3 linked regions of the Caenorhabditis elegans genome follow. The protein of the gene in region 1 purifies or fractionates together with the protein of each later gene. This does not show direct contact. Each region holds a gene or a part of one and is shown in the gene's direction. Other genes may lie near its edges. The genes, in order: nas-16, mab-10 and F01F1.15.

Region 1 (4,715 bases):
GAAAATGTCTGTCGATTCGACTTTTATAGGAAACATTTCCAAGGTTGTACTATGGGCGGAGGTATTGCAATTACACTTGGCAGATGCAATTACGCAAAGAAAGGAGGAAGTGAGAAGAATAGAAACTGGAAACAAGACCGGGTGAAATGTTGATAAGTTTGTTGGAAAAAAACTTGGATCAAAATGAAAATATGAGTCTGCACGCGAATTTTTCAATTATCTTCAAAATCCAAATTCGAAAAAATACAATATTTTTCAGAGAATTATTCGAAAAATGTAGCAATCGTGATGCAAATGACTTTTGGGCACAAATTCAAATTATATTTGAAGTCGTTATCAAACTTTATATTTTGTACCAAAATAATAAAATCATTTATCAGTTGGCAAAAACAGTTCAGTGATAAATTCGTTTAGTAGTCGCTTCTCCGACATCTTGGTAGGTGACGTGAGTTGGAGGATTGCCTTCTGGAGACAAAACACTTCCTGGAAGATCGGGCTTGTCCTCAACGATAATTTCTCCATGATCAATATAGACTGCAGAAAGATCTTCTTCGAGGCGAAGAGTCAATCCCGACAAGAAGATTGTGAAGAGAAGAAGGAGGGAAACCAATTTCATTTCGATTGTATGAATCGAGTTACTGTACACAGAGTCTTATATTTTCATCGAATTTCTCATGATTTGCATTTAAAAAACGTCAAACTTTGAATAATGCTAATTGTGAGAAAAGCTGGTAGTATAAAATTGCAATCTGGCTGATAAAATCAACTGACTCAATCATGCGTCTTCTCTTCCCTTTATTTGTTCTTCTTCTCGTGGTAACTTCAAGTTTCCCGACTGGTGTTATCTCATTGGACGAGCAAATCGGAAAGGTTTTAGAATATTCACTTAGAAGTACAAACAAAATTATTCCAGAATGCACCTTTTTCCAAAAAAGCCGTCTTCGATTTGCCTGGGGAGATTCAACATGCTGGTGTGACGGGAGATCCGAAATTTGTAAAGCAGGAACAATGAGTTCGTTATTTTCTGTTGTTGAATAAAGTTTGGCATATAATTGTATTAGAACATGCAAAAAGTTTTCGGCTCATCGTCGTTAACTAAATGTATCAGGAAGGTAAACTCATTTCAGTCCATTTGAAATTTCTTGAACAAACCACAAGTAACCAACAAAACAGAAGAAAATTTGAGAAATTGTTCTGCCTCCTGGAGGCGTTCAAAAATTGCGTATGCCACCCATGTTTCAGGGGACATCGCGGGCAATTGGGAAAAGTTTTCAACCAGCAATAAACGCACCTCGGCAAAGCCTCATTGGTCACGTTATCGCCCCAGCGCAAAGCTAAATATGGCAGAAAATTGAACGAACACCTTTCTCATGGTGACCGGACATCTGGTGGGTTCCGCCAGTGTGCATACCTTGTGCACAAGATGGGCGGTACAAAGGAGATGATTATGTTCAATTGAAGGTTGACACCTATATTGCAAAGTTAGTGAATAAAATTATTATTCTTATTATTATTGGATGATGGCCAAACGAATTTGAAATGTAGTTGTTTAACTGCTAAACGAAAGAAAATAAATGAATTTCGCAAAACAAATTTTCCGAAAATATTTAATCTCGTCACAAGACAATATTTTCTCCCAATTTTATGTTTTTTTCCAAGTCATTCCAAACACAAGTTTATTTTGTGGACAATTGGATGTGGACAAGTGAACACTTTCTAGAGAAAATGTTTCAAATTGTACCAGTTTCGAGATTACGTATTTTTTATATTATAATACTCTTGCACCTCCTTTGTTCCAATTTGATCGTCAATGTCTTGACTGTCTCTAGTTTCATCAAAACAATTTCAGATGAAAAGTGCGTTTCAAATAATTCTATGTATAGTCAAGTCATAGCTGGATCAAACTAAAAAAAACCGAGAAGCGCTGTTACAGTGTAGAAGTAGAGGAACAAGAATCATATGAAGAAAACGGTATATAATACTTTTTTAAAATTATTTTTTCTTTGCATGATCATTGGGTTTGAACTATCTGAATATTTCCTCCTGCATAATCATGGGAAACTTGTTTAAATTCAGCTTGAACTGTATAAAATATCGTTCTGAAAATCTAGAAAAATCTAAAATGTTTTATCAATATTTTTATTTTCATCTGACACTTTCAATTGTTCTCATATATGGATCAGATATTGGAAAAGATGCTAATGAACATATGTCCAGCGTTCCAAAAAAAATAATTATTGAAGGTGATATTTTGCTAACGAATGAACAATTCAAACACCTTATGAAAAGGAACCCGTCAGAAAAGACAAGTAGTGACTAAATTATTTTCTCCACAGTGGTCCAATGCTAAAGTATTTTATTGTAATGCCGATTCATTCAGTAAGCTCCAACTCAAAAAGTTAAAATTAAAAAAAAACTCAGATACTGTAAAACGAAAATTAATGAAATTTGCTATGAACTTCATATCTTCACAAACTTGCGTTACTTTCGAAGAAAACTGTACTATTTCAACGAGAATAAAATTTGTTGACAGTACTTTCTGTGCTTCATATGTTGGAATGATTAACAGTGTACAAGAAATTTATTTTCCTGACTGGTGCATGCGGGTGAGTTCTTGCATACTAGGTTTTGGGGAAATCTTACACGAAAATAACTATTTTAAATCGAATATTTTTAGTTTGGATCCGCCGTTCACGAACTAATGCATGCATTGGGTGTTCTGCACACTCATGCTCGTTTTGATCGAGATAACTTTCTTAATGTAAATCTGAACAAAGATGATGAAGACGACAGCAATTTTGAGATTGTTTCTCCTCCCTTTTCTATAAACGTTGTACCATATGAGTATGGAAGCACTTTGCACTATACAGCCGATGTATCGGGAACAAATTCACTTCTTCCGAAACAAATGGAATATTATAGAACACTAGGAAATCGAAGAGTTACATTTTATGATATGTTAACTATAAACACTGCATACAACTGCAAATGTCCAAGTGAATTATTGTGTGCAAATGGAGGATATACAAATCCGTCCAATTGTTTGGAATGTATTTGTCCATTGGGATATGGAGGAGTGTTATGTGATCGAGTAGTTAGTTTATTATCTGAATTAGTTTCTATCGGTATTTTTAAAACTGTATTTTTCAGGTTGCTTGTAGTGTCCAGTTAAGTGCAGATTCGTATTGGAAAGGATCCTGGATTTCTGTTGGAAGTAGTGTTTTGAGAGATACTACAGACCCCGTTAAAGCGTTTATCTCAATAAATGCTCCGAAAGATAAAATTATTGAAGTTAAAATTGTGAAAATAGAAAATTTCTCGTGTGACTCTGGTTGCAATAATAATGGAGTGGAGATTAAATACATGGGGGATCCAAGAATCACTAATCCAATGTGGGTACTTTCTTCAAGTCATCGAATAACAATTAAAATTGATTACAGTATTTGCTGTGAGAATCAAGTGGACCCATCCAACAAGGGATACAAAGCCAAGCTGAATCCACTTTTGATTAATATTTATACATTTCTCGGGAAAAACAAAGTGACCTTCCATTACAGATATGTGAATGAACGCTTGAGTAGCTACAATAAAACCACAAATGGATATGATAACTATGAATATTATGCCTAAATTTTCGTTTGGTGATTTGTTCTGAATAAAATAATAAAGTTTCCATACGTGTGTCATTATTAAACTGGAAAACATTTTTTCTTGCAATACCTTCACATACAACAACAATCAATGAATCAAACCAGACTTTCACACTGATCACACTCGACGAAATGTTCAAATTTTTGGCAACAGATTTTAATAACGTGTGAATTTCTATCGATTTGCACGCTTGTGTCCAGTTTTTTGTAGTACCTACTAGTTTTATGGAATTAACAATCTTTCACAAATTCAAGGTCCCTTTGATAGATTTTCTCCATGAACTTGAATTAATTTGAAAAACTTCTCAACACTTCCTTGATCCATATTTTATATGTAAAGTTTTTGTTTGAAAATCATTTTCTTCTTGCATAATCATGAGAATCTTGTTGAAATTCATTTTTTTGAACTATATAAATATCGTCAAATTTTTGAAATAATATTTTCATGAAAATGCTTTGCCAGTGTCTGTTATTTTATGTGTTGTTCTGGCATCCGGATCAGTGATTCCAGAAGATTTGTATAAATTTATACCAAGCTTGACAAAAAATATAATGTTTGATGGAGATGTTATGCTAACCAAAAGGCAATACGACTTAATTTTACAAACGAAAAACCGGCAGAAAAGACAAATCGCAACTGAATCATTTTCTCAAAAATGGACTACTCGGTAGTTTGGCTCGCTTGGCGCGCGACGAGGGTGCGACTGGCGCGCGGACGGGGCGCGACTAGGCTACTGTCTCGCGATCTAGTCGCACAATTTTCGCGCGCCGAGCGCATTTCTTTCGCACACACTACGCGCCCGGTTCGATTTTATTCTCGCTCCCGCCGATTTTCATATTGAAATTGAAATCTTAGATTAATAAGAATTGCATTTATTACAACAACGAACAATGGAAAAACAATTAAAAAATAAATTAACAGATTGAAGACAGCTTGGCTGCAGGCCAATTGATCCCTAGACGGCGGGAGACTGGTGTTGCTGATCATCATCCTCTCTGAAAAGCTCAAATTAATCTATTTAATTAAGTCAGTATATTGAAAAAATCAATGAAATATCTTTAAAA
Region 2 (8,810 bases), on another chromosome or scaffold:
AACACTGGGGTGCTGTAGTACTAGAAGAAATACGGTTCATTTTTTAAACGGGTCTCGCTCATTGAACATTAAACATTTATTTTTTAAAAACCACAACTTTGTGCATTAGAATTGTAAAACTAACCAATATGTTCCACTGAGAGTAGTACTGAGCTAGTCATTCTCATCCCCACTCACACAATAATTACAGTGTGAAACGAGAAAATAGATGAAATAAATGGGCGGTTTGCACTTTTACAAAGACTGTTCATTACAGTTTCATTTGATGGTAATTTACACTGTGTGCACCGAGCCAGCACACCTACGCCGGTGCTCACTGTCTAAGTTATGTCTAAGCAAGCAGCAAAAACACACATCAAAATTCTCGAAGTAGTTTTGAGTTTTTGCTCAAATTCAAATAATATTGTTATGCACGAATTTATTCAGAAAAAATAGAATTACATAATAATCAATAAAAAAAGCTATATCTTTCTTTTTCCTGTTAAGTTCGGACGCATTTCAGTAAACGAGCAAGACTAAATATAAGTTTTTTTTAGAGTTTCATGGCAGCAGAATCGCCAAAAACAGCCGTACCATTCATGACCACTCGGAGAGCAGGGAACTTGAGCTTGATAACTGACATTGAAGAATTTCTTGGCAGACCAAACCACGGATAAGCAATCCTATCTTCTGTCCACGTGCGCTTTGCCAAATAATCACCATAACCATATTATTGATTTTCAGAAGTTTCATAAAAAACTAGAGCACTTTCAAGTGTATATGGGTAATGAAGCACCCCACTAACTGTAAGGCAACGTTGAGGGTTCTCCGTACAATTGAATAGTAGAATTTGATACGTCAGAAGAAGGTAGGTACATAACATGGAAGTTATGCTGTCTGAAAACTAACATTTTGTCTGAAAATGTTTTGATTTTATTTTAAAAAACGTGTTGATACATACCTCAATTCCACCAAATCCTCTTGCATTCTGCCATGCAAACATATCAACATCCCACAAGTTTATGAACTTCTAAATACGAGTTTCCAGAACCAATCTCACGATGAGCCCTCAAAGTTTCTGAAGATAAAACTGTGAAGAAACTCTTAGTTACCAACTTTCCAGAATTTTCAAAATATTTTTTTGTAAAAACTATAACAATCAAATTGTTTACTACTCCAAATACAATAGATTCTGTATATTTTGCAGTGAGATGAAATTAGAAAAATCCTAAAGCATCAGTTCCATTTCGTTTTTTGATCAAACAACACATTATCAAAATCATCAGTCGGAATTTTTTCAGATGGATTAATCCAGAAGTTTCAAGAACCACGCCATCTGCTTACAATTTTGTTCTACGAATCAGTAAAAACCATTTTTCAAAATTTTCATTTTTATGAAAGAAGGTGTTTTCCAGGATTCAATCTTGGCATTACTGTAACGAATTATACTTTTGTTTGAAAACATGTTCAAATTATACTAATGATTTTTAGAATACAAGTATTTCAGCAACCTTTTCGCCGAAAAAACGCTTTTAACAAAATATATTTGGCAACTTTTGATAAAATCCTCTTTTGAAGTTACGAACATTATTGAATTCCACCACACATTTGTTTTGGTGAATTCTGAAAAAAAAATCGAATAAGATGAGTTTCAAAATAATTTTGCGGCCTTACTGTACTCAACAGTACTCATATCAATAACATATACAACATCACATATACAGTCTACAGTACTCATGTAGTACTTCTCCAGTGATTCAGCGGTTTAAAAAAAGTCTCACTATCCCAAACACCAACTTGAATCCCCCTTCTTCAACTGCTCTTCATGCCTTCCACTGCTTCTGATCATATCAATTGCTCTTCCAGAGACCTTTGGGCTCCTTGGGTCGGCACCGGACTGGTACCGCTGCCAGTAACACACAAAAAATGGACGCGGCCGAGGGCAGCAGAAAAAGTGCAGAAAGAGCAAGTAAAGCGAAGAGAGTGTAGACGCACTTTTTGTGCAGCAACACTGCCGTCGCCCCCAGGCAGTGCCAGCCATTTTTTCCCTCATGCGTCCCCCCGTGGTCTGTGGGGGTCACTTGCGCCCCCCCGGGCAATTCTGCCCTGGGTGTCCGCGACCGGTACCACCGCCGCTGAGAAGACGCCGCGCCACTGCTGATATCACTGAATGAGAAATAGTATGGAGAAGATGAGAGATTGCAGAGAGAATATAGAGTGTGGCTGCACTATTCTGGCTCTGTCTGTTCCTCTGTTCCTCTCGATTTCTCAATGCCTTTGCTTTTTTTTCAACGCACGCGTGTTCCCCCCTCCAGTTGACCTATGTTCTCTTAATTTTTTTCCTTTTTTTCTAGCGTTGCATATTATCAGTTATCACCTCCACCTCTATCCAACCACTTTTTTATTATAGACCCCGGCCTCACTGTTCCACAGCCTCCTGACCCGGTCGTGCCCGGACCTTGTGCGGCGCCAGACGCGAATGATATTCGGAGACACGGGCTGAATGGTTTCGTCGGTAGAGAACCACGTCATCCCGTTTTCGTCGTCTGCGGAGTTAGAACTGTATCAGGTAAGGTTTTTAGTTTTTTCTTTTTTTAACTATCAAATTGACTGAAATGAGAAAAGAACGGAAGGCAGGCAGGTCTCAGGCATGCACCAGGATCTGAAAACGCGCCTGCCTTCCACCAAAGCCTTAGTTTTGATTTGTTTGACTAGGAGGTCTAGAGTTCAGAAACTAACTATAAGGCCTCCGTGTCAGGAGTGTGGCAAATTTGACAATGGACTTTTTTAGTATTTGCCGAGCACGGCAAATTTGGCAAAATCAGCTAATCCACATTTTTAAAATTTGTCGGCTCGGCAAATTCGGCAAACGACAAACTCGGCGAATTTGACGCACACCCCTGATGTAGTACTTGCCGAATCGACCGAGCTCGGACAGTTTCCAGAATTGCCGGAGATCACTAGTTTCGTCCGTTGGGAGATACTGTAACTTCTAGATTATTAGTTATGAATGTCACTCTTCACTTTATGTCTATTTTCTCCATTTCTCCCATTTTTTTCTCGAACCTCCCACCTATTCCCCGTTGTGTCCCATCCGCCTGTTCGTCGTCGACCTTCTCTCCCTTCATCGCTTCCCAATTTTTTTTCTGTTCACCTCATACTGCGCGCATCTCCTCCCATGTCTACACTATTTTCATCAATTCATGGACATGTGCAGACAATTTCATGGGGGCTTTTTTTGCTAGAAGAATGAGCGTGCGCGCGCCAGCCTCGAAAAGGACGTTTTCGGAGCGGTTTTTCAGTTGGAAAAAGCGATGGAACGAGGTGAAGAAGAGGTCAAACAGATGGTGGTACTGTTGGATGAGAACAGCTGAATTGGAAGAAGGAGGAGGAGCTTGAGTTTTGATTAGTATGCTCTTATAGCTTCTAGACATCTATTTGTCCAAACAGGAAGAAAACTATCCGCCTAAATATTTTATCATATCGGTAAGAAACACCAAAACTTGAAAGTATTTCTGTTAGTCAGAAGTTAATAGATATAGGAGATAAGCTACCAAAATCTCTCTGAAGTCTGACCCCGATTACTGTAAATTTTGAACTTTCGTATCCCCAGACATCCACTTGTCAACAAAGGTCACTTTTTTGTCCCGTTCCTCCCAAGCCCATCCTGTGTATACACACACACAGTCACCTCAATCGTTCGCATAGTAAACCGAACATTTCAAATAATAATCGAACGACGCCTCTTTGGTTTTTTCATCGGTTCTTTTTCTCTCTAAATCTCCCCCGATTCCCGTACTATTCCCTCCCTCCTATTTCTCCATTCTCACCTCCCGGTCCGTCCCGCGTCCGAACGACCGAAGAAGCCCAGTGGCGAGAGACGTTTTTTGTAGGATTGTCTCTGTGTCTCTATGTTTTAAACGCTTTTTCTCGCCCAATGGTTTGCCGGTTTTTCTATGTTTCTTGTGTCGTCGTTTGCGTCCGGGCGCGCCGCCGAGTTTTTTTGACCTATAGTTAGATGTATGGGTGCACTCTTAGTTTAAGACACTATTTCGTCAGGGATGTAGATAGGCGGACGCTGGGGTTTTTTGAACAGGGATCGGGGGCCATACCACTCTCTTTTCTGTGTCGATATGTTCCCATTTTCTTCTCTTCTTCACTCTATTCTAACCTTTTTTGCAAACCTTTTTTATGACTTCGATAGGGAACCTACAGTGTTGTAAAGCAGTTAATACAGTAGTTCAGCATTTTTCAATTAATTTTCATTCTGGGAAAAATATAAATCAGCTTACAATATTTAATTTCTAGTAGTTTACACGTACCTTCTAATAATTGTTTGATATTTTCTCTTTAAGCATACAATCAGTGTGTTTTCTGTAGTTGATTATAAAAATAATATATACCAACTTGGCTCGGAGGTTTTGGAGGCAGCGTCCTGTAAAACTTTGACAGTTTACAACTTCCTGTCGAACTTTTGCAACTTTCCAACGACATTTTGATGTTAAAAAAATTACCTAGCAACTGCCTATCAACAGCTTTTTTTTATATTTTACCGAGTTGTTGCCGAAAAGTTTCTCCTGAATCTCCTTTGCTTTGAGACAAAAAGTACTAGTTCTGTAGTAGACTCCAGAATCTCATATTCAACAACTCATTTTCAGGATACTGAGGCTATTCGATAGCCGCTGCCCTTCCGTCGATCTGGATTGGGAGCGTACCTCAACTTGTGTGCCTTCAGAAGGCATCATGTCATCATCGTCGTCGTCGTCGTTACCCACATCATCTGCGTCAACAACGACTTCGTCGATCACATCAAGACCATCAGCATGTAAGTCCCGACGATCAGGACATCAGAAAAATTAGTAAAATTCTAGCACATCACTTGGAGTCCATACTTAGCTCGTCTTCATCTTCTCCATCAATTTTATCATCTCTTACAACTCAATCCACTTCATCAATACCCACCTCTTCATCATCATCATCACAACGTCAATCAACCAGCAATGCAGATCGCCCTGTGTAAGTCAATCATTTTTATCGATTTCTGGTGATAAGGGAAAGTATTTATGAAATTTTTTAGTTCTCCCAAACCGATGCCGACACCAACGACTCTATCCGAGTGGCAATTGTTGGCTGTACTGAGCAAAGCGAATTTAGTTCAGTACTATGATGTTTTCATAGCACAAGGTAAGGATTCTTCTTTGTGAATTTTCTATTATAAGGTAAATTTGTTTCAGGTGGCGACGATATCAATCAGATCATGGCATGCGAGGAGAGAGAATTTCTGGAAATTATGAATCTTGTGGGAATGCTTCCGAAGCCTCTTCATGTCCGGCGGATGCAGAGAGCACTTGCTGAGTATAGTCAGGATCAGACTGCATTCAACCTGGCAGCTCTTCAACAAATCGGTCCACCACCACCACTGAACTACACACCTGCGGGTACTGATCCGATGGCTCTTCTGCTACCCGGAATCGCCGCTGCCACGTCGCCGAAATTCCCGAGTCTCCGATTTTTGAGTCAGCTGTCGTCAGTTGCTGAAAAAGTTTCGACACCATCCGAAGCAGCAGACACGTCATCATCGTCTCCGTCACTGAATCTGAACACGACATCGTCGAATTCGGTACCGTTGGGTTAGTCTTTGTCGCTGGGCGTTTGGTAGCACACGCATGTCCATAATGCACAATTTTTGTTTTTAGTTCTTTATTTTAAGTTTTTGAGATATTTGTTATGAAATAGTAAAATAATGGTTCACATTTTTGAGTTTTTTTTTGTTTTTTTCTAAATTGAACTAATTGTACCGCTTCAATTACCAACATGTGTTACAAAGATCGAAATTAAGTTAGCACCGACTCCAAGGCTTCATCAATGCACTATATTCAGCGCGTAGATTAGCATACTCAGTTTGTGTTATACTTGTGCTTATACTGTCCCATTCATGATTTTAAGCGATTTTTGAATATTCCCTCAACTCAACGAATCCCAAAATTTCAGCGTTCAAGTTCTCCACTCCTCTACTCGAGTCTCTGGCCTCTGATCAACAGTCATCATCCACCTCATCTGTTCGAAGCGTGCTCCCCTCAACCAGCTCAAACACATCCCACCCTGAGCTCCCTGCTGGAATCCTCCCCGCCACCACCACCAATGTCTCCGCCGCAGTTCCGCCACCATCATCGAGAGCCACCGCCAACGTATTCTCCGGAAACAGCATTGGCCTCAATTTTAGTGGTGCAGCAAGCGTTACACGCCACCTCGTCGTCCCTCCATCTAGCACATCCATTCAACAACCATCCACTTCATTTGGACGATCATCGTCCATCACCGGCCAAGAAAAAGAGGGGTCGTCCTCTCCTTTTTTAGGTGTTGGTTATTCACAACCATATGGCAATGATTTCGTTTCATTGGGAGATTTTGATCCAAGTTCGTTTTTCTAAAGTTTATGCTCTAGCCGAAAATAATCATAGTAGGACTTGGTAAAAAAAAGTGTCAAAAGACAAAAAAAAATTGTTTTTTTGAAAAGTCTATTAAATGCTACTACAGTAACCTTTTCACTAACCTCAACTCACCGATCTTTCAAAAACCCAAAGCTCAGTTTTCTAAAAAAAATCAATAGTCCTACAGTACTCCTACAGTAACCTACAGTTTTACAAGATTGCCTCGCCCATATCCGTCTCCATAAAAATAACTCAGTTTTTCTGAAACTACAATAATCCTACAGTAATCTTACAGTATAGAAAAGGTGCCATGTCATAGTTTACCTGAAAAGAAACACTGCTGTGAAAGCTTTTATAAAAGAAAAACTTCAATGTTAAAATTAATTTTCCAGATAATCCATCACTAACTGAAAATCCGACTCTATCAACTGCTCAAATATCCCGTCTCGCTGAGTGTGCTCTGGCGGCTTCCAAGAATCTCCCGCCACTTCCGCCGAGGTTGGTGCAGAATAAGAAACGAGTTTCAAAGTGAGTCAGAATGGATTCAGACTATTTTATAATTTTTTGAAATTTCAGAGAAGTCATAGAACTCCTCAAATGCTCTCCAGCAACTCCATCAATGATCCACGCGTTTCGCAAGTATTCTGCAATTTACGGACGTTTTGACACTAAACGGAAGCCCCATAAAGTTTTGACACTTCATGAGACAACTGTAAATGAAGCAGCTGCTCAGCTATGTCTTCTCGTTCCGTCTCTTTTGACACGACGGGATGAGCTGTTTCCGTTGGCTCGACAAATTGTCAAAGATGCTGGATATAACTATGCAAAAAGTAGAAAACGACCATGTGATCCAGCTGATTTGCATAGTCCGATAAGCTCGCCGGGCAACTCTCCGCCCCCTCAAGAATCGGAATTCGATGAACAACCGTCCAGTTCTTCAGGTGCTTTTAAGGAGGAAGAAAGGGTAGGCACATTTAAATTGTTCGTTACTTTTAATGCAAAAATACCGTACCTGGTCTCGACACGAATTAAAAATGAAAAAATTTAAATCAAAAATGCTGTGCGCCTTTAAAGAGTACGTACAGTAGTCTTCCCACCTTGCAGCTTTTCAATTTTCTTCGATTTTTTCCCGTTTTTTCATTTTTGTGAACGATATGCAAAATGTAGTAAAAGAGAAAAAATGTGAAAAAGTAGCAATACAACACGGTTACTGTAATTTTAAAGACGCATACCCTTTTTTCTTCAAATTATTTCAGTCATGTCGAGACCAAAAACCATAAAACTTTGCATTTGAACAATAACATTTTTTGATTATCGATTTTTTTCAGCCACCAATTCCACCGGAAGCATGGGCGGCGATAATCGAAAAAATGAAGGGTGAGCTCCCGGAATCTTGAAGCTCGGATTTCCATATTTTTTGTTTTCCTCGTGATCTTTGCAACACCTCCCGCTGGTCGGTTTCCTGTGATTCTCATTAGTTTTCGAAAATTCTCTCATTCTAAACACGCTCTATTGTACCCCACAAGGCGGGAATTTGAATTTAAATTTAAATTCCCGCCCCCTTCGCTCGGAGTCATATAATTTCCTTCTCTTCCTATCACTTTTTTGTCTAGTTTTCAAAAAACCCCCCATTTTTCCGGCGGTTTTTCAAAAACCAATGCCAAGCTCTCATATAATGGGAGTCTAAACACAGTTCGGTTCCAAAACCAACGCCCACGGCCCCGCCCCCAATTAGATAATTTAAATATAATTTTTTTTTCCATTTTCCAATTTTTTAAAAATATTTAATATGTTTGTCTTGCTCTATTGAGAAAGAAATTTGAATTCAAAACTGAAAAACTTCAATTTCGCATCCAATGCATTGCAAGTTGATTGCTTTTATAAATTTTTGGGTCTCGAAGCGAAAAGCCCATAGGATTTTCACAAAAATTTTGCATTTAATGCAGTGAAAATTCAAAAAATTCAAAGATTTTTCTGAATAGATCAAATTTTCAAATTTTCCGGTCATTCGAAATGGCCTAATTTGCTCCAAAAATTTGAATAATCCCGTCATTTTTTCTTTGAATAGTAAAAAAAAGATTTTCTAAAAATTGCCTAAATGTTTGCCACACTTTCAGTCCATTTTATTCACAGATTTTTACAACTCTACTAGTCTCCTCCACCCATCACCACTTTCTCCCCAAAAATGTTTACATGGTTCTTATGCACTTGAATTGTAACTATTTTTTCTAATAAAGAAAAGTTTATAACAAATAAATTAAAGAATTCAAAGAGAACAGGAAATATATAATTGAGAAGTTCAGGGGATTTAAATCTCACTAACGACTGGAAACAAAAAGTAGATGGGGAGATGGACGACAAGTAAATCGGAAGACATGATTCCCGTAACAATAGTTTTGC
Region 3 (4,234 bases), on another chromosome or scaffold:
TCTCGGAGATATTTCTATGGAATCGCTGGTAGAAGGTATGGTGAATCCATCGGCGGCTGATGGAAGGTTTGCAATGCTTGGAACGTCTATTATGGTCAGAATTCTGATAGCCCGGAATTCAAAATTCCATTTTTTGATTTTTCAGCTAAATGCGCTAAAGTCAAACATTAAAGACCTGAGAGGAACAATTGTAGGACAGACGACCAACACAAATTCAGAGTCAAAATTCGATAAAATCGATTTAAGTCTAATGAATCTCTCGCATTGCCAACAAACTTCTTACAATATTCGAGCAACAGGTGTATTCTCTGTGAGTTTTTTTTTGTTTCAGCTTCTATGAAAAAATGCCAAATTTTAGAATGCCGATCTTCAATATGTGTTCAGTTTGCTGACGTTCCGCAGAAACGCAAAACTTCTCAACAAAACCAAGCAGTTTATAAAAGCATATTTTTGTGTTGCGTGCCGTCCGAGATGCATGATCTGGAGATATACTTTAAGAAGAGCTGGAAATAGTCAAAGAAGAGCCATTCTTAACTTACCATCCGCCATTGTTTCAACTATTACTCGTAAGTTTTAAATAAAAAAAGAGAATCCATGGGCTTTTTCCAATATTTGGAAACAATTTTCGTTTTTTCAAAAAATAGTTTTAAATGTTGACCTTTTTTCCTTTTTAGATGGCAATTATATGTTTTTCCTTAATAATATTGATTGATAACAGTATAAGCCTAATTTGATTTAAACAAAACATTTTTTTGTTGTAAAATTGCTAAACTTTTTTTTTGATTTTCTCAGAAAAAAAATCCATAAAAAATTTCAATGATACCCTTGCCAATAATCAATTTTTATTGTTTTTTCCAGAGTTTCTGCTCGATTTGACAGGAATTAGCGATGCAAACATCCCATACGATCAGCTCGATCCAATGACACCACTATCAATTTCACTTGGAGAAGATGAATCAATGCGTGTTCAACGATATGAAGAAGCTTGTCGATTGAAGGATCCATTGACGAGATTCTTTCGAGATGCAATTACAGATTGCTTGTAAGTGCCTGAATCCTTGAAAATACATTGAATTAAATTTCAGAAATGAGCTCCGAGAGATGCCGTTTTGCCTGAACACGGGCATTCTGTTGAGCCCGTTGCGTGGTCGAGAACAAGGAACTTCTTGTGTTACATGGAAAGATTATGAAGGATTTTTGAAAAGAGAACACGATCTGCCTTCCGAAGCGAATATGAAGAAGCGAACGCAGTTTGAGTAAGTTTAAAAAATAATTTCGATTTTAAAATCCTTAAAATTTGCATTCAGTTATAAGTGTAATTTTTTTTTGGAAAAAGCGTAAAATTTGAAAATCAATTATATTTTCAGTTACCGACAGGATAACAGAATTTTTCTCTATTTTCGCTCCCTTTTTTTCGAAAAATACCAAAAATAAAATTTCATTGCTGCTCGCTGTTGCGGAGCGTTCTTTAGTTTTTCACTACAGTACTACTTTTGAAAAAATTGTACGTGACGAGGCCGGGTAACATATCTTTGAGACGAGATTTCAGAGTTCATATCTGAATAGTATTAAAATTAAATTTCCAGACAACGGCTCTGCGACATTATTCCACGTGTACGTCGACCGGTTCCCAATTGAAAAAATGTTTAACTTATCAATTTTCGATCTCTTGAATACGTTGTTTCCAATCAACTTTAATGAATAATATTCATGTTTTATTCGTGAAGAAAAGTACCATTTACACAAACACTGGATACCTATCCAAACACCGTTCTTTTTCTTTTCTTTCTGCCACTCTCCCAATCATTGTTTGCTCTCTCTCTCTCTCCGCTTCACTTGGTCATTATCGACGCTTTTTAACCATTTATTCAGAATGCATTTTGTTTCTACACTGGTTTGTCTCATATCACTGTCGGGTATTCAATCTGCATCGGTTTCTTCATTAGAGTGTGGAGGTTGATAGATTTTTCTAAAATATATTTTTAAATATTGAAAATTTCAGCCTGCTCCCTCCTCGTAACCCATTTCGAGCTGAAAATCGCCGCAGTCGACCCGAAAAAGAAAATCGAAGTTGGAAGTTTCCGAGTTTCACCAACTGGAGATCAAAAAGGGCTCAAGGAAATCGGCTATGCTCGTTCAGAATCTCATTTGACAGAAATCATTGAGCACGCTTGTGATGATGCGAAACACTATAAACTTGTGGTAAGAACCATAAATTGTATAGATTTTTACAAATTTCTCTTCAGGTGAATACAATTACTGGAAAATCAGTCTACGTTCACAACGACGCCACACATTTGAAAGGAGATGAGTCTCCCAAAATGAGATATAATCTTCAAAACGCTGTAAGTTCAAGCACGGGATTCCAAACTCTAGTTATTATTAGAAAACAATCCCTAATGAGAATTAAGAACTTTTTCAGTTTTTTGCAGAAAACTTCAGTCTTGATTTTTTAATTTAAATTTCTAAATTTTAGTGCAACGACTTCATTGACTCTCACGAAGATGAGCTTCTTGGTTTCCTGAAGACCGCCCATCAGGATCCCGTCAAACAGTTCTGCCAAGGAGAAATGGGTGCTTGCACTGCTGTCGATGTGGCACCTCTACCTGCTGCTCCAGAAGAACCAATGGATCTTTCTGATATTCCAGATGATGAAATTGACAGAAAAGAACTTTAAATTAAATTTTCCTTTTTTAAATTAGTAATTTATGAATTTCAACTCGTTTGCGGGATCTGGAAATTGTGCTATATCGTTATCTGTTTGAATTTTAATTTATATGTGATTTGTTTTGTGATATAAACTTCAAGTTTTTCCTTTCGTGAAATGCTAAGGGTAAAGTTGAAATCAATTGAAATATCGCAGAGCCTCTTGATCTTGACTTACAATTCTATTTATAATTAGATGACGATTTCTCCAATTGACACACTCGAAGAGCTCTGGAGTTGGAAATCACGAGAAGATGTTGGCGAGCAATACAGTGAGCAACTGGTTAACTTTAAGTAATTTTTATGAAATTTCAGAAAGAAAATTAATTTTCTACCTGGCAATAAGAATAGTGTTAAATATTTTTAGCCCGAATGCGAAAAAAATGGTTTTGGCGCGAGCCAATTTTTTCAGCTACAGTACCCAGTAGTATGGTAGACTTACATAATATTTGGTTTTTACTTAGTTTTAAACTTTTTTTGATAACTTTATTGATAAACAATAGTCACAGTCACAGTCACAGGACAAAAGCTTCGATCGTGCTGAGACCTAAAATCATGGATTTTCCCTACTATATGGCAAAATTTCAGACCACATTCGGGTCGTCAAATCCTCGTATGCCACGATATGCGTGGTGGATATTTGGAAGAGGAGTCTACGGAAGGAAAGAAATTCGAAAAAGACCGGTACCCGTACATGTTCTTGAATTGGTGGCAAATCGACATTTTCAACTACTTTTCACATCATTTTGTGACGATTCCACCGGAAGATTATACACGAATTGCTCATAAACATGGTATAAAATATTAAATCTAAAAATCGAAATAACACAAAACATGCCCGTCCATTTCTTGGTTTTTAAGTCAAAGTATCCCAATTTCAGGTGTTCTTTCACTTGGAACATTCATCACGGAATGGATTCCAGGATACGATATTTGTTCGAAAATCTTGGAAAATGAGGGTTCGGTAGAAAAAACAGTGGACTGTCTGGTGGCTGTTGCGAGATTTTTTGGATTTGATGGATGGTTGATTAATATTGAAAATAAAATTGATGCAGGAAAAATCGATTTGTTGATTCAATTTTGTTCGAGTTTAACTGAAAAGTCAAAGAAAATGAATGAAAATTCGAAAGTGATATGGTATGATTCGGTACTTGATAATGGAAAGTTGCATTGGCAAAATGAATTGAATGAGATGAATCGGTTAGAATATTAGAACTGTACTGAAATATTAATATTTTTAAGAAAATTCTACGATGCTTGTGACGCCATCTATCTCAACTACAACTGGAAAGATAAAGAACTTCTTCGATCGGCTGAATTTGGAGTTCTTGATCGGATCTTTGTTGGAATTGATGTATGGGCTCGTGGTTGTGTTGGAGAATTTCATTGTGATCAGTCATTTGCATTGGCAAAACTTTTTCACATGTCAGTTGCTCTTTTTGCACCCGGATGGATTTATGAAAAGTTTCCTGAGGAAAATCAAATTTGCAAAGGAATTCAGTAAGGTTTTTTGAAAATAAAATTGAAA

Evidence for each region.
Region 2: the proteins of nas-16 (region 1) and mab-10 fractionate together in Caenorhabditis elegans (co-fractionation; one large-scale study listed by BioGRID). This does not show direct contact.
Region 3: the proteins of nas-16 (region 1) and F01F1.15 fractionate together in Caenorhabditis elegans (co-fractionation; one large-scale study listed by BioGRID). This does not show direct contact.

What each region holds. Positions count from the first base shown.
Region 1 is NC_003283.11:11,389,879-11,394,593, forward strand, and holds nas-16 (Zinc metalloproteinase nas-16), read left to right. Parts: upstream 1-2,441; coding exon 2,442-2,606; intron 2,607-2,677; coding exon 2,678-3,094; intron 3,095-3,150; coding exon 3,151-3,392; intron 3,393-3,440; coding exon 3,441-3,630; downstream 3,631-4,715. Other genes in the region: K03B8.11 (uncharacterized protein), read right to left, coding at 395-616; K03B8.14 (uncharacterized protein), read left to right, coding at 778-870, 914-1,012. UniProt on the Caenorhabditis elegans protein: Metalloprotease.
Region 2 is NC_003280.10:10,525,700-10,534,509, forward strand, and holds mab-10 (NAB transcription cofactor mab-10), read left to right. Parts: upstream 1-2,384; 5' UTR 2,385-2,548; intron 2,549-3,673; exon of another isoform or gene 3,674-4,099; intron 4,100-4,637; 5' UTR 4,638-4,722; coding exon 4,723-4,804; intron 4,805-4,850; coding exon 4,851-4,995; intron 4,996-5,056; coding exon 5,057-5,163; intron 5,164-5,213; coding exon 5,214-5,609; intron 5,610-5,970; coding exon 5,971-6,396; intron 6,397-6,802; coding exon 6,803-6,938; intron 6,939-6,986; coding exon 6,987-7,374; intron 7,375-7,738; coding exon 7,739-7,807; 3' UTR 7,808-8,681; downstream 8,682-8,810. UniProt on the Caenorhabditis elegans protein: Transcriptional cofactor. Heterochronic protein, involved in timing of a subset of differentiation events during the larval-to-adult transition.
Region 3 is NC_003281.10:5,867,168-5,871,401, reverse strand, and holds F01F1.15 (DUF3456 domain-containing protein), read left to right. Parts: upstream 1-1,872; 5' UTR 1,873-1,873; coding exon 1,874-1,955; intron 1,956-2,002; coding exon 2,003-2,202; intron 2,203-2,246; coding exon 2,247-2,345; intron 2,346-2,476; coding exon 2,477-2,677; 3' UTR 2,678-2,812; downstream 2,813-4,234. Other genes in the region: F01F1.11 (PAP-associated domain-containing protein), read left to right, coding at 1-94, 146-310, 359-566, 859-1,042, 1,086-1,256, 1,587-1,638; eng-1 (mannosyl-glycoprotein endo-beta-N-acetylglucosaminidase), read left to right, coding at 2,903-3,000, 3,295-3,500, 3,588-3,906, 3,949-4,206.